Drosophila melanogaster: one gene and its partners. The protein of the gene in region 1 interacts with the protein of each later gene in a pairwise test. Each region holds a gene or a part of one and is shown in the gene's direction. Other genes may lie near its edges.

Region 1 (3,142 bases):
ACCAATATCTAGAAGATCTGTCATCTTTCTATTGACCCAAATCACCCTACTCTCTCTGACCTATAACATCTGGTTTATCGAATTTTTCCGTCAATTATGTTGGTTTCTGTGAAAAAGGTTGCCATGATTGAATTACCATAGGATTTCAACAAAATATGTGTCGCAGTATGAAGACCTTGCCGAAACTTGATAAGCAAGCACAGGCAGAGAAATAAATAGTCCCTTTTCTTTTCAAGCCGCAATAAATCACCTGCCAACCGCACATCAATTTTAGAAAGCTCCAAATGGGGATGCAAAATAATCAAAAGCGCAGAACCTTAGTTAACTGCTATATTTCAGCCAATCAATCAAACTGGTTTCAATTATTTTTTCATACATATTCAGGTTTATAGTGTTTATATGTAAGGTGTTTGTAGGTTCTTTATTGAGGCAAATATATATAAAAGAAAAAAAATAAATAAATAAGGTACATTTTGAACTTCACTATAAACAAAAGTCAACACGTCCTTAGTCTCTTAAATATGAATTCGACTTTAAAATCGAATAGTATTTGCAATCCACATCAGAAATAAAGTTCTCTTAATTCAGACTAACAAAAAAGATTGATGTTCTTATATATGCATTCACATAAGTTCGACATGGAAGAAAAAATAATCGGAAAATTGCCAAAGCTTCTTCCTTTTCAAAAAGTGTTCTGCATTTGTGTGGGTATAAACGTGTCCTTGTGAGTGTCTGCACTCATGCATAGAAATAAGCCGATAAAACCCTGACAATTGTGTCATGGAGTAGCGTTTTAGTTTTGGGATTGGACTTAATGCCTCTTGACTTCAATTTGCATAGTCGGCTTAGCAACGTTCGTGCAATGATTGAATGACAAATTGATAGAATTCGGCATTTACCAGTTGACAGCTAAGGAAGAGCTTTTTCCGGTCGGAGGAAACGGAAGAAAAGTTAAACCGATGATGGAGATTTCAGTTCAAATTCTGTTTGAGCATGATTTAATTATCGTGCCGGTTAAAAAGGACTTTTCATTTGCCTACAACAATGTTCACAACGAGTTGCGCCTTTTTAATTATAAAAATCAAAATTCATGAAAAGCTCTTAGAATATAGAGATATGATCTTTTAGTGTTTAAATCTCTTGAATGCGAGTATAACATAATATATATATAAATAGGCTTTTCATCATCACATATAGATGATTTAATCCTTCTTCTCCAACAAAATTTTAAGCCATTCCCAACAAAGTTGTTAAATTGTTAACAAAGCGAACATTTTCACTCAAAAAACGCCCCTATCGCATTGACTCTGACCTAGACCGCAAGCCGTTTAGATCCCGCAGGACTTCCCATTAATCCAATTAGGGCTGAACATATTTGCTTCTCATTAAAAATGAAATCCTTTGCTTTGGACCGGAATCAAGAGCTTTGACCAATTACCAAGCGTTTTTTCATTTACGTTCGCACATTCGAAATAAAAAATTAACCAGGAAGGTCGCAGATAAAGGCATTGACAGAGCAGCTTAGAAATCTCTTTGTCAGCAACTTAAATGAAAATTAAGACATCTGCTTTCATTTAGCTTAAGTGCTTATCTTGCGAAGGACGCAAAGGCAAAGGACACGTTTGCCCACAGGACAATCAATTATGAATGCAACACCGAGCACCATCAGCTTGGCAAAATAGTCTGTAATAAAAGTTAGGTTCATGAGGAGTGCGATGCTTTTGGGCGGCTAATGATGATAATTATATGTTTTAAGTGACATTGATTTGTCGCCTTCAGGATGGGCCGGGAAATTCCCATGATGTTTAATTCATTAGCCAGCTAATCGGCTTACTCTGATAATTAATATAATTGATGTCAGTCATCTTATTGTAGCGCCACCCAAGCAGGCTACTCATTCCCAGTTGCCTCTGTGTCATTTCTATGGATCTAAAATAGGTTTCCCAGTACTATTGACGCCCTGAAAGTAATCAGATATTCACACATAAAATAAATTCAAATAAAATCTGTATATTTTGTACGCTCACAATGAACATGAGGGGAATGGCCAAGCGTTCTATTTGGCTGCAATGTCTTCGGGAAAATGCCACCAATATGCGCCTGGAGCACGAGGATCTGGGACGTCGCATTGCTGTTTCTTTGGCCAGTTCCCAGAAAGCTCTAGTTGATATCGAAAACTTGAATCAAGAGCTGTTAAAAATGAAGGACACAATCCATAATGCCATTTCCAATGTTATGGGCTACGAAAAGAAGTGTTGTGAATTGCTCCTGGAAATTTTGATTAAAATAGTTGAGAACAACGACCTGGATGCCGAACTAAATCCCAAAATGATCTCCAAGGCGTTTCTCGACTTGGATCCGAGTTCCGACGAGACAGAAGTTCTGAATGACCGTAGTCTTGCAGCGTCTGATTTTAATCAGCAATATCCAAAAGATGTGCCGGATTCTATTGATATAAACATAACAGAAGACCAGTAACCATTTTAAATAGGATCCAAGACCGCACCAATTCGATTACTAACGTCTTAATTTAATGCGTTGTCAATTCCACCTCACACATTTAAAAGGAATAATAAGGTGGTCAGGGCTACAAATGTTTTATATTTTTTATCGATTCAATTAAATTTGCATGGTGAAATGACAAAACCCATTGTCTCTTTCTTCAGTTTATAGTTGTGGGAAAGTTTCTAAGACGTTCGAAATGTTAAAACCCTTGAAACGAAAAAACTTAGGATGACCATAAAAATACAAAATTATGAACAGAAAGAAAAGAGAAAAGCACGCCAACATCCGCACAAATTGTCCTGCAGAAAAGTCAAGACAAAATCACGTATACGCACTGTGACAACCCACAGCCTGGGTTAAAGACAATCCCAACTGGTAATCCAAGTCGTGTGCGTAGCCAGCATCCATGTTCCTAAACAATTTGTCGGCGATTTGTCGGCAAACTTGAGCCATATACGCCACACATACGCACCGAGTGAGCCATATTGCACATACGCCCCGTGTGACCCACAGAGGAATACAAAGAGTAACGAGGTTAAGTGACCCAACCAGCAAAACAACCTGTTGACTCAGGCTCTCTGCTCTCTCACTCAAAGCAAACTCACTCATCGGTGGGTTTGTTTTGCTCCGCTCTTTC
Region 2 (3,712 bases), on another chromosome or scaffold:
AATTTTATTTACACTAGTCTTATGCCTTGTGGAAAGTTCTCAAATTTTCCCGCACTCATTTCCCCGTTTAACGATCGTATTTCACAGTTTTGCATGCACTGCGACTGACTGTAAATTCCAGACGATCGGGTGCTTGTAAATTAAAATTTAAATAAATAAACGCATTGGAAATTATGACCAGCAGCAAAAGTAAATGAATGTTAACTGATACACCGTTCGTATGTATTGTAAATTATTCGTATGTTGGCGACGGCGATCGAAGCCACAATTTATTGAATTGAACAATGTGCGCAAAGAAATACGTGATATTCTGAAATAGTCGAGACGGGAATACCCCTTAAGATGTAATAGATATTTTAGCAGCTTATATTTATACCAAAATTAAGATGGTACACATTTATAACACTTAATTATATACATACAATTGAATATTTTTTTAATATATAGTTTAATTTTTGGAACAAGTTTGTATGCTCTTTGAAAGAGTATCATGCCGACAATAGCTCAAATCGATTAAATATTTTCGTATGCCGTACGCTATTTTCGACCTCATGTTCAGCAAATTATGTTGGATTTTGTTTTTTTTTTTTTACCTCATATGCTGACGTTTGAGTTTTGTGTTAACACGTCGAATGTATATAAAAATTTTTTTGTGACTCCGCAGCTTAATTTAATGTTAATAATTTGTTGCACGTTTTTATGACACTGCAAACTGGATTGTTGCCATTATTTTGGAGGTGATGTAAATGTGTCGCTGAAGCTGTCACACTTGTCCAAATTAAAATCTTGTTGGCATTACGGGAGTGGAATTTGAAATTTAACTGAGTTCCGATGTGGATTTTGTTGAAATTCAATATGCTTAAGTAATTATAGAACTTTAATGCCTGTAAAATCTTCTACAAAATTCTAGAAATTTTTCTGTGTTCAAAAGCCTTTCCATTTGACCCTTAAATATTGAATAAGATAATAATTTTCATTTTTATTGCGACTGTTGCATAATGAACTAAACATGTTAATTGCCTCTATAAACACACAAGATCATATGTCATCGTTCACTTAATAAGTGTATATATTATTTAATCACAATCATAGGGAAAATTGTTTCATAATGCTTGAAAAAAAAAAACGTAAAGACTCATCTAAAAATGTTTGCTATTTTTTATTTGGGTTGTTATTGTCCAGTTCAACGATGATTTGCATAACTCCTATGTGTTTTTTTTCTCGGTTCGTTTTCCTGTGTGTCGGTGAAAATGAACCATTTATATCTTTATTATTGCCTTTTTATGGGGCGCACATGGCTTCAAGAGTCACCATTGCTTTGTTGGTTTTTTAAATGTGCGTAATGAGTGGATGTTTGTAGTAAAGTGCGAGTAGTTTTGACCACCTGGATGTTTATAGGAAATGTTTGGAAACCTCGGCTTGGGAGATCTTTACATTTTCAATACCCTAAACCTGTAAGACGCGTTGAACTCGCCTACGAAAGCATTTCATTTGAAATACAAAATATAATATTATGTTTTCTATCCTTTAATAAATTAAATTTCTTATTTTAACTTGCATTGGCTGTCGCAATTTTCTGTATCAGCAATATTTTGGGAAAAGCGTTCAAATACCCTATGAGAAAGGGTATAACACGATTATACAAAACTCGGACAAAAGTCGTCTTCCATTCACTTAATAAAAGACAATAACTGCGTTTACTTAGTGTGTCCGTGTTCGTGTGTACTTGTTGAAGTTAAAGCAAACATATCTGGACACAGATATTTAACTATATATGTACATATATACATATGTATCTGTATCTATAAGCTATACGTACGAACGTATATAGATGCGAACAAACCGAGTGAGAGATTGTGTACACACTATTGCTAAGTGGAAGTTAAGTGAAATCAGAGCCGGCAGCACTTTGAACTCCAACCCGTTGTTTTTTGGCCGTCCGAACGGTGGATCAACACCTCCTCCAGATCGCGAGATCGGAGATCGATGCGGAGATGTGAAGATCTGGATATTTGGAGATGAGATCAATGGACGAACTTAGATGGATCGTATCCGATCCATCGACACCTGTCCGAACCGACCCAGTTGCCTTTTAGACACACTGTTTGTGTTTTGACTTTCAATTCCAAATTGTATAGGTTTCTAAATTTTCAAAAACAAAAAAAAAAAAAAAAGATAGAAAAAAACTCAAAAAGAAGCAAAAGACATGGCGTGGTGCTTCCGCGACATTCGGCGCCACATGTGCATGCTGGTGCGTCAGAACTTCGCCAAAAGTTGCGAGAAGAAGCTAAACGATCAGATCAACATGGAGTTGAAGGCATCCCACCAGTATCTGGCCATGGTAAGGTTCCGCAGTCAATAGGGAATATATATATATGCATATAGTACGTTCAATACACGTAGGCCTACCATTTCGATCGCTCCGATATCAGTTCACCCGGAATGCATCGATTCTTCCTAAAGGCGAGCGTCGAGGAGCGGGAGCACGCGGAGAAGATCATGACGTACATGAACAAGCGTGGTGGTCTAATCATTTTGAGCAGTGTACCACAGCCGTTGCCCTGTTTCGCCAGCACCTTGGATGCACTAAAGCACGCAATGAAAATGGAACTGGAGGTCAATAAGCATCTGCTCGATTTGCACGCCCTGGCTGGCAAGGAAGCGGATCCGAATCTCTGCGATTTCATCGAGGCCAATTTCCTGCAGGAGCAAGTGGATGGCCAGAAGATTCTGGCCGACTATATTAGCCAATTGGAGAAGGCACAAAACCAGGTGGGCGAATTCCTGTTCGACAAGTATATGGGCAGCGGCATGCATCCTGCGAAATGAATACCTCAAAATGGACAACCATCCGATGAAGAATACGTATTATAATTGGCAAACCCATGTGTGTTCAGTAAAGATTCGTTTTTTGGCCGATCAATTGTTTTTTTTTTTTTTTTTTTGCTGCCACATTATCAAGTGGCTGGCGTAAAACTAACTCTATAAATATACTCGCTTATCGGCTCCAAGAGTTGCGCAAGATTCTAATTGAAATCGACACCGAAACTGAGTCCAAAAACAAAGCTTCACGAAATCAACAGCTAAACCCATCTGATAACCCTTTAGTTGGACCACAGTGTTGATGGTATTGGATAGTAACTCATCTGCTTTATCCAGTTCTGTAAATACGTTTCTAATCAAATGACACAATATTTCTGTTATATATATGATAACAGTTGATAATCTCGAATCTATAAAGATAAAAGTTAAAAGAAGCCTGACATTTAACTACGCTTGTTCTACCCATTATATAATAAAACACTTGGAACTTGATGATGAAGCAGTTGGTCTATATGATAAGCATTTGTGACGTATTAATAGGTTATCTATATCTATATAGATTGAGATCGTGAAAGTCGGCAAGACACGACAAATATAGTAACTCATTCATTTAGTTACATAGAATATAATATGAAATAAGTACAGAATTGCGAAACTTCGTTCTAAATCAAATTAAATTTTCCCTGATCTAATTTCCGAAATCATGAACCCCTCTGGAAGTTTGTGGGGGCATTCCCACATTGACCAACAAACTCATCCAGATCGTAGGGATCGTTCATTCAGAACTGAATGCTGAACTGAATGGTAAGATCTTGGCGGGGCTTTAATTGAAAAGCGCGTCGCATTTCCGGTCTAAAGTCTGAGGTTCGGAGGCATTTATACGAAGGCA
Region 3 (5,152 bases), on another chromosome or scaffold:
ATACTGTCAATATATCAAACAAAAGTTAATTTGTGGGTGATCAAACGGAAAACGTAAAAAAAAACGAATGCTAGCGAAAATCCATGAATGTCTGATGCTTGAAGATAACTTCTATTTTACCCAATGACAGTCATTTCGGTTTTTTTTCTTTTCTTATAAATACAATGTAAAATAATATCATAATGCAATGGTATATGCGATGGTTTACTATTCGATACGAAAAATGTATGCTTAATTGTGAGTTAGTCTCGCAGCTCTATAGCTTATGAGATTTCAAAAAATACATTTCTGGTTTTAAGTTATATTCTGGGAATTGTTTGTGGTATATGTATGTGTGTATGTATGCATGTATGTATATATATAATGGATAGCTGCTGGATATTCCTTTTATTCGGAGGGGGTGAGATCGTTTTCAGGTTCGTTTTCGTTGAGAATTTGAGAAAGCAGATCGTAGAGTGGTTCTAATATCTTTTTCGCTCCAGCATTGGTTAGATTTTTATAGTCGAACATATCGTGATGACTGATACTGCCGTCGGTCTGGACCAAACCCTTGTCAATGGCCACCGTCTGGACGCGATACAAGCCCTTGGTCAATCCATTGACCACCTCGTTGATTTTGGCATTCTTTTCGCGCAACTTATTGGGCTGCTGGCCACGCGGCAGTAGCGACTGCAAGGGAGAGATGGGAATGTCGATGATTTACTGCGGCTGGCTAATACCACAACTATTGTACTTACGGGCAAAACGATATAGGCGTTGGGCAGCTTTTGCCGGATTTTCGTTACGTTCGCGAGCACACCCTCGGCCACTTCCTCCGCGCTGTTCCGCACATTATTGGTGCCCACATGGAGGACGACGATTTTGGGATTCACATTGTCCAGCGCACCGTTTTCGATGCGCCACAGTACGTGCTCGGTGCAGTCGTCGCGAATGCTGAAGTTAAGGCAGTGCAGCGGCGCAAAGTACTTATTCCAGGCCTCCGTGTCCTGGACGGTCTCGAAGATGCAGTCGCCGAGGAATATCACATCCGGATCCTTTTCGCGGCAATCGGAGATGAACCGGCGATGTATGCTGTGCCAACGCTTGTCGCCATCCAGATCGGGCAATGGGGTGGGCAGCACACAGGGATTCATTTCGTCGGCGTGCTCAGACTCAGTTGCAGACCAATATTGAGTTTTAGTTAAAGATTCCGATTCCTATTCCTATTTCGATTTCGATTCAGTTGCAGTTTCAGCATGCGGATGAATGAGGCATCGTCTGCGGCTTAGTCTTACCGGATACTTGGGCGTTCTGCTCGGCTTGCAGTGACAGCGTTGCAGTCGTGGACAAACAATTGAACTGATAGTCGCTAGCATAAACAACTCCGTACCGTTGTTTACTTTAATAAATCGTTTTTATGGCGAAGATTTTTTTTTTGTTTTTTTTTTTTTGTGTTTTAGGTTACCTCAACATTAACATCCGTAAATGTCGTAGAATTATGTGGCCACCCTCGTGTACATGGAAATTGCCAAGGATTTAAGGTTGAAAATTTTTATAAGTTTATTTTAATTTGGTGTAGAAAATCTACGATTTTCTTGGTAAGCGTTTATGTTTTCGTTTTTAGAGAGATGGTAGATGTCTTGGTATTTTTCCAGGGCTGGAAAGTGTTGTCTAGCAATGTTGCACTTGGCACAGCTGAAAAAGATGTGGGATACGTTATCGAAAACGTTACACGGTCACATATGTTACTGTTTGTAACGTGCATTTTATTCAAAATTGTCAAAAGCGTTATCGCAGAGAAGTCTGTTAATTATTTTGATCTCTGTTGATTTAAGTTTACAATTGTGATTTTTAAGGCATGTGCCTTTAAGCCATATGCCATTATTTCAAGGGGAAAATATACCAAATGAAACAAGACTATTTTTTAGCTTTTTCTAGACAGCTTAAAAAATATTACGATGATTTATAACTGATTTCAGAAATAAAAAGATTTGAAACATAAGCAAGTTAAATTTTGTACCCCTACACGTTAAATAGTAAAGGACTATGATTCATTATGAATTATTATTGAACTGCATAAATAGAAATTATACCATTACTTTCACTGGCATCGCAAAACTTTCCGTCGCTACCTTGGCGCAACCTATTCTGAATCCAGCGTGCGGTCACACTGCAGCAATGACATAACCTAGTTATTGTCAAAAAACTGAAGTCAATTCTATTCCTTCGAAAACATAAATCGTAACTTGCGTTAGGTTCGACGGCATGTTGAAGCTTAACCGTGTTCGCCATCTGCGAACGACGTACAAGCGCTGTTTGTCCGGCCAGTCGCAGCTGCAGCTGAATAGTACGGACGCAGAGCCGGCATATCCGGAGATTCAGGATCTGTCCTTCAAGGCGCGCAAGCAGAAGGATGCGGCCAACTGGCACGAGGAAATCCGGCAGGTGCCGACGGTGGAGGAGAAGATGATCAAGATCAATATGCCCCGCTATTACGGCTTCAAGGTGGTCGACTTCAACGACTCGAAAATCCCCTACAATGCACTGCCGCTCACGCAACATTATACGCGCACAGTGCTCGAGGATTTGCCATCTGAAACGGATAAGAAGGCACAGGCTAAGGACTCCGAGCAGGAGCAGGAGCAGCCGAGCGTGGATGGTCTTTTCAAGGCGGCTCGCGGGGATGTTATTGATGCCCTCGAGTTTGCCCACGACTACTACAAGTGGGTACAACGAGGTCCGCTTTCAACGAACCAAGTTCTCCGGCGAGTTTGTGGACAGTAGTTGGTCCAACTCACTTAAGAACTCGGATTGGTTGGAGTGGTCCCAGTTACAAGTTCGACCGTCTGATATTAATGTATTCATTCTCCTCCATTACCAAGCGTAGGCATCTGGAAAAGCAACACAACTCTGCCGAATCGAACCCCGTTGAACGTGAGCGCATCCTAACGCAGATCATTGTAGAACAGCTGAACAGAGCTCTGCTGCAGTCGCTCAGCGAGGAGTACAAGCACCTGGATGAGCTCGATGTCGACTACAATCCACGCCACGAAGCGTTCTGGGCCGTTGGCGGCGTAGATCCTCCCAAGAACGTGCAGAAATCGAAGAAGGGCCGGGAATGGCAAAAGGATATGGCAAACGAGAGCGTTGATCGGATGGTTCAGTATACGGGAGCGCCGTATCTTGCCCTACGCCATCGCAAGCAATTGACGCCGTGGAAAACGGAAGCGGAAAGCGAAAACCTCGAGCTGAGCAAACAGCTGCCCCGTTTCAAGCACGACCCGCGAACCCTCGGCTACAGCACCAAGCATCAGCACGCCACCAATGTGCCAGGCTATTGGCCCAAAGGAAATGAGAATAACTTCGGCCTGCTCTCATTTCAATCGCGTGCACACCTGCAGATCCGTCCGAAATCGTTCGGCGAGCAGGATCAGCTGGAGGCATTGCATTCGCTGGCGATTAAATCGTCATACGCCTGGCTTTTGGCCCAGGCGAACTACAATGGCTTCAACACCTACAACGAACTGACCTATCCCATGAACACTCAAACTGTGATCACGAACGGCAGGGAATGGAGCTTTTATGAGTATCAGCTTAATACGCTGCTGCTGCACGGCACAAACGTGGCGGAAAATCCCCGTGTCAACTTCTGTCGCGGTACAAAGCCACTTCCACTGTACGCCGAGATTTCGGCAAGCGGCAAGTGCGTTGATTTCAACGATAACGCACTGCGGCACCTGCTCAATTTCTATGCCAATGCGCCATCGATTCAGCGGAGCATTGGGGAGCAGCAGCCGTATGTTGCCTCCGACGTTTCCGCCTATGAGAACGCCGAACAGCGTGACTTTATCAATAAGACCTTCAAATATTTGGCATCAAACCGACCGCGACACTTGGAGCTGCCCGAAATCTACCTGTGGGAGAAGCTATACAAGATCGATAACAACAATCGTGCCATGGAGGCTAAGAGACGCTTCTTCGAGCTGGACATCAATCCTTGGCAGCGAACGCTGGACACACATGACAAGGAGTATGTTCCACGTGCGGTCCGACCAGACGTCCCTAAGAATAAGAACAGGTTCAAGAAGACGTACTACCCTTAAATGAATAAATATAAAACACTTCCTAAGGTTACACTTGTTAAAAATGCTGAATTTTTAATGTGAAATACTGGATTGCAGATTCGGAGCAACGAAACGGTGTACAAAGTTTCTTTAAACTTTGATTAACTCAATTTTCCGCAAACTTTTGTCAGTATGTTAATGATTTTTAATATAAATATTTTGTTAAATTTCAATTTAAATTCTATGCCATACAAAGTATATATATTTATTAACTTTGTTATGCTTGTGGTTAAACACTTCTGTAAATTTATAAGCTAGTCTTTTTTATCTTAAATTCTTTCAAATAGATATGATTATACAAATACCTGGAATTTTGCCAATTATTAGTGCTGATGATGCTAAAACTTGCCAATGCAATGCTTCTTATCATTATTTAATTGTTTATGCAGCACATATTTATTCTAGATTCCATTGTTTATTTCATTTATCAGCACTGCAAACATACCGAAGTTATCTCAAAAAGTGGGTAAAATGCGGTTACACTGCACCAGAACCATATTTTTCGAACGTAAAAAAGGTTTATAATGCTATAGTGTAGTTTAAATCTTTTTACCAAATCATATATTGTTTGAACATAATAGTGCACTAAGGTTTATATGATATTCCATATAAGTACACTTCAAACTCTTACTTAGTCTGGTAATATGTATGCATTAATTAATTACTTGATTATTTTATTATCCCATTTATTATAGTAGTTTTACATTTACGATAATAGCTTTATAGTCCACTACATCAAAGTTAGGATTGCTGAAAAAGTTACCACTTGTTGGTTATTTCGGTAACGTCCCAGCTAACCGTATGGTATGTTATAACGGCCGTGCGACGGTCACACTGGATCTGAATAGTTAGGCTCGAGTAAATAACCAGTTTGAGACTTTACGGTGGTTCGGAAACTCGTATCTGGCGCTTCGGTTGTCCAAAAAGGTAGAGCAGTAACCTGTTGCATATATATTTCTTTTTTTTTTGGTAATAGTGGAAAGTGTAGTGCAGACAAGTCGAACCCAACTGATATTGAGTCGAAATTCCGTTGGGCAAGTGCTGAAAAA

The links.
Region 2: the proteins of CG13476 (region 1) and Fer3HCH interact in a two-hybrid assay, tested with the Drosophila melanogaster proteins (one large-scale study listed by BioGRID).
Region 3: the proteins of CG13476 (region 1) and mRpS30 interact in a two-hybrid assay, tested with the Drosophila melanogaster proteins (one large-scale study listed by BioGRID).

What each region holds. Positions count from the first base shown.
Region 1 is NT_037436.4:14,703,516-14,706,657, forward strand, and holds CG13476 (uncharacterized protein), read left to right. Parts: upstream 1-1,948; 5' UTR 1,949-2,028; coding exon 2,029-2,478; 3' UTR 2,479-2,642; downstream 2,643-3,142.
Region 2 is NC_004354.4:13,106,591-13,110,302, reverse strand, and holds Fer3HCH (ferritin 3 heavy chain homologue), read left to right. Parts: upstream 1-2,108; 5' UTR 2,109-2,206; coding exon 2,207-2,341; intron 2,342-2,403; coding exon 2,404-2,829; 3' UTR 2,830-2,921; downstream 2,922-3,712.
Region 3 is NC_004354.4:15,783,928-15,789,079, forward strand, and holds mRpS30 (mitochondrial ribosomal protein S30), read left to right. Parts: upstream 1-2,119; 5' UTR 2,120-2,244; coding exon 2,245-2,702; intron 2,703-2,866; coding exon 2,867-4,082; 3' UTR 4,083-4,361; downstream 4,362-5,152. Other genes in the region: Paf-AHalpha (Platelet-activating factor acetylhydrolase alpha), read right to left, coding at 388-669, 738-1,133.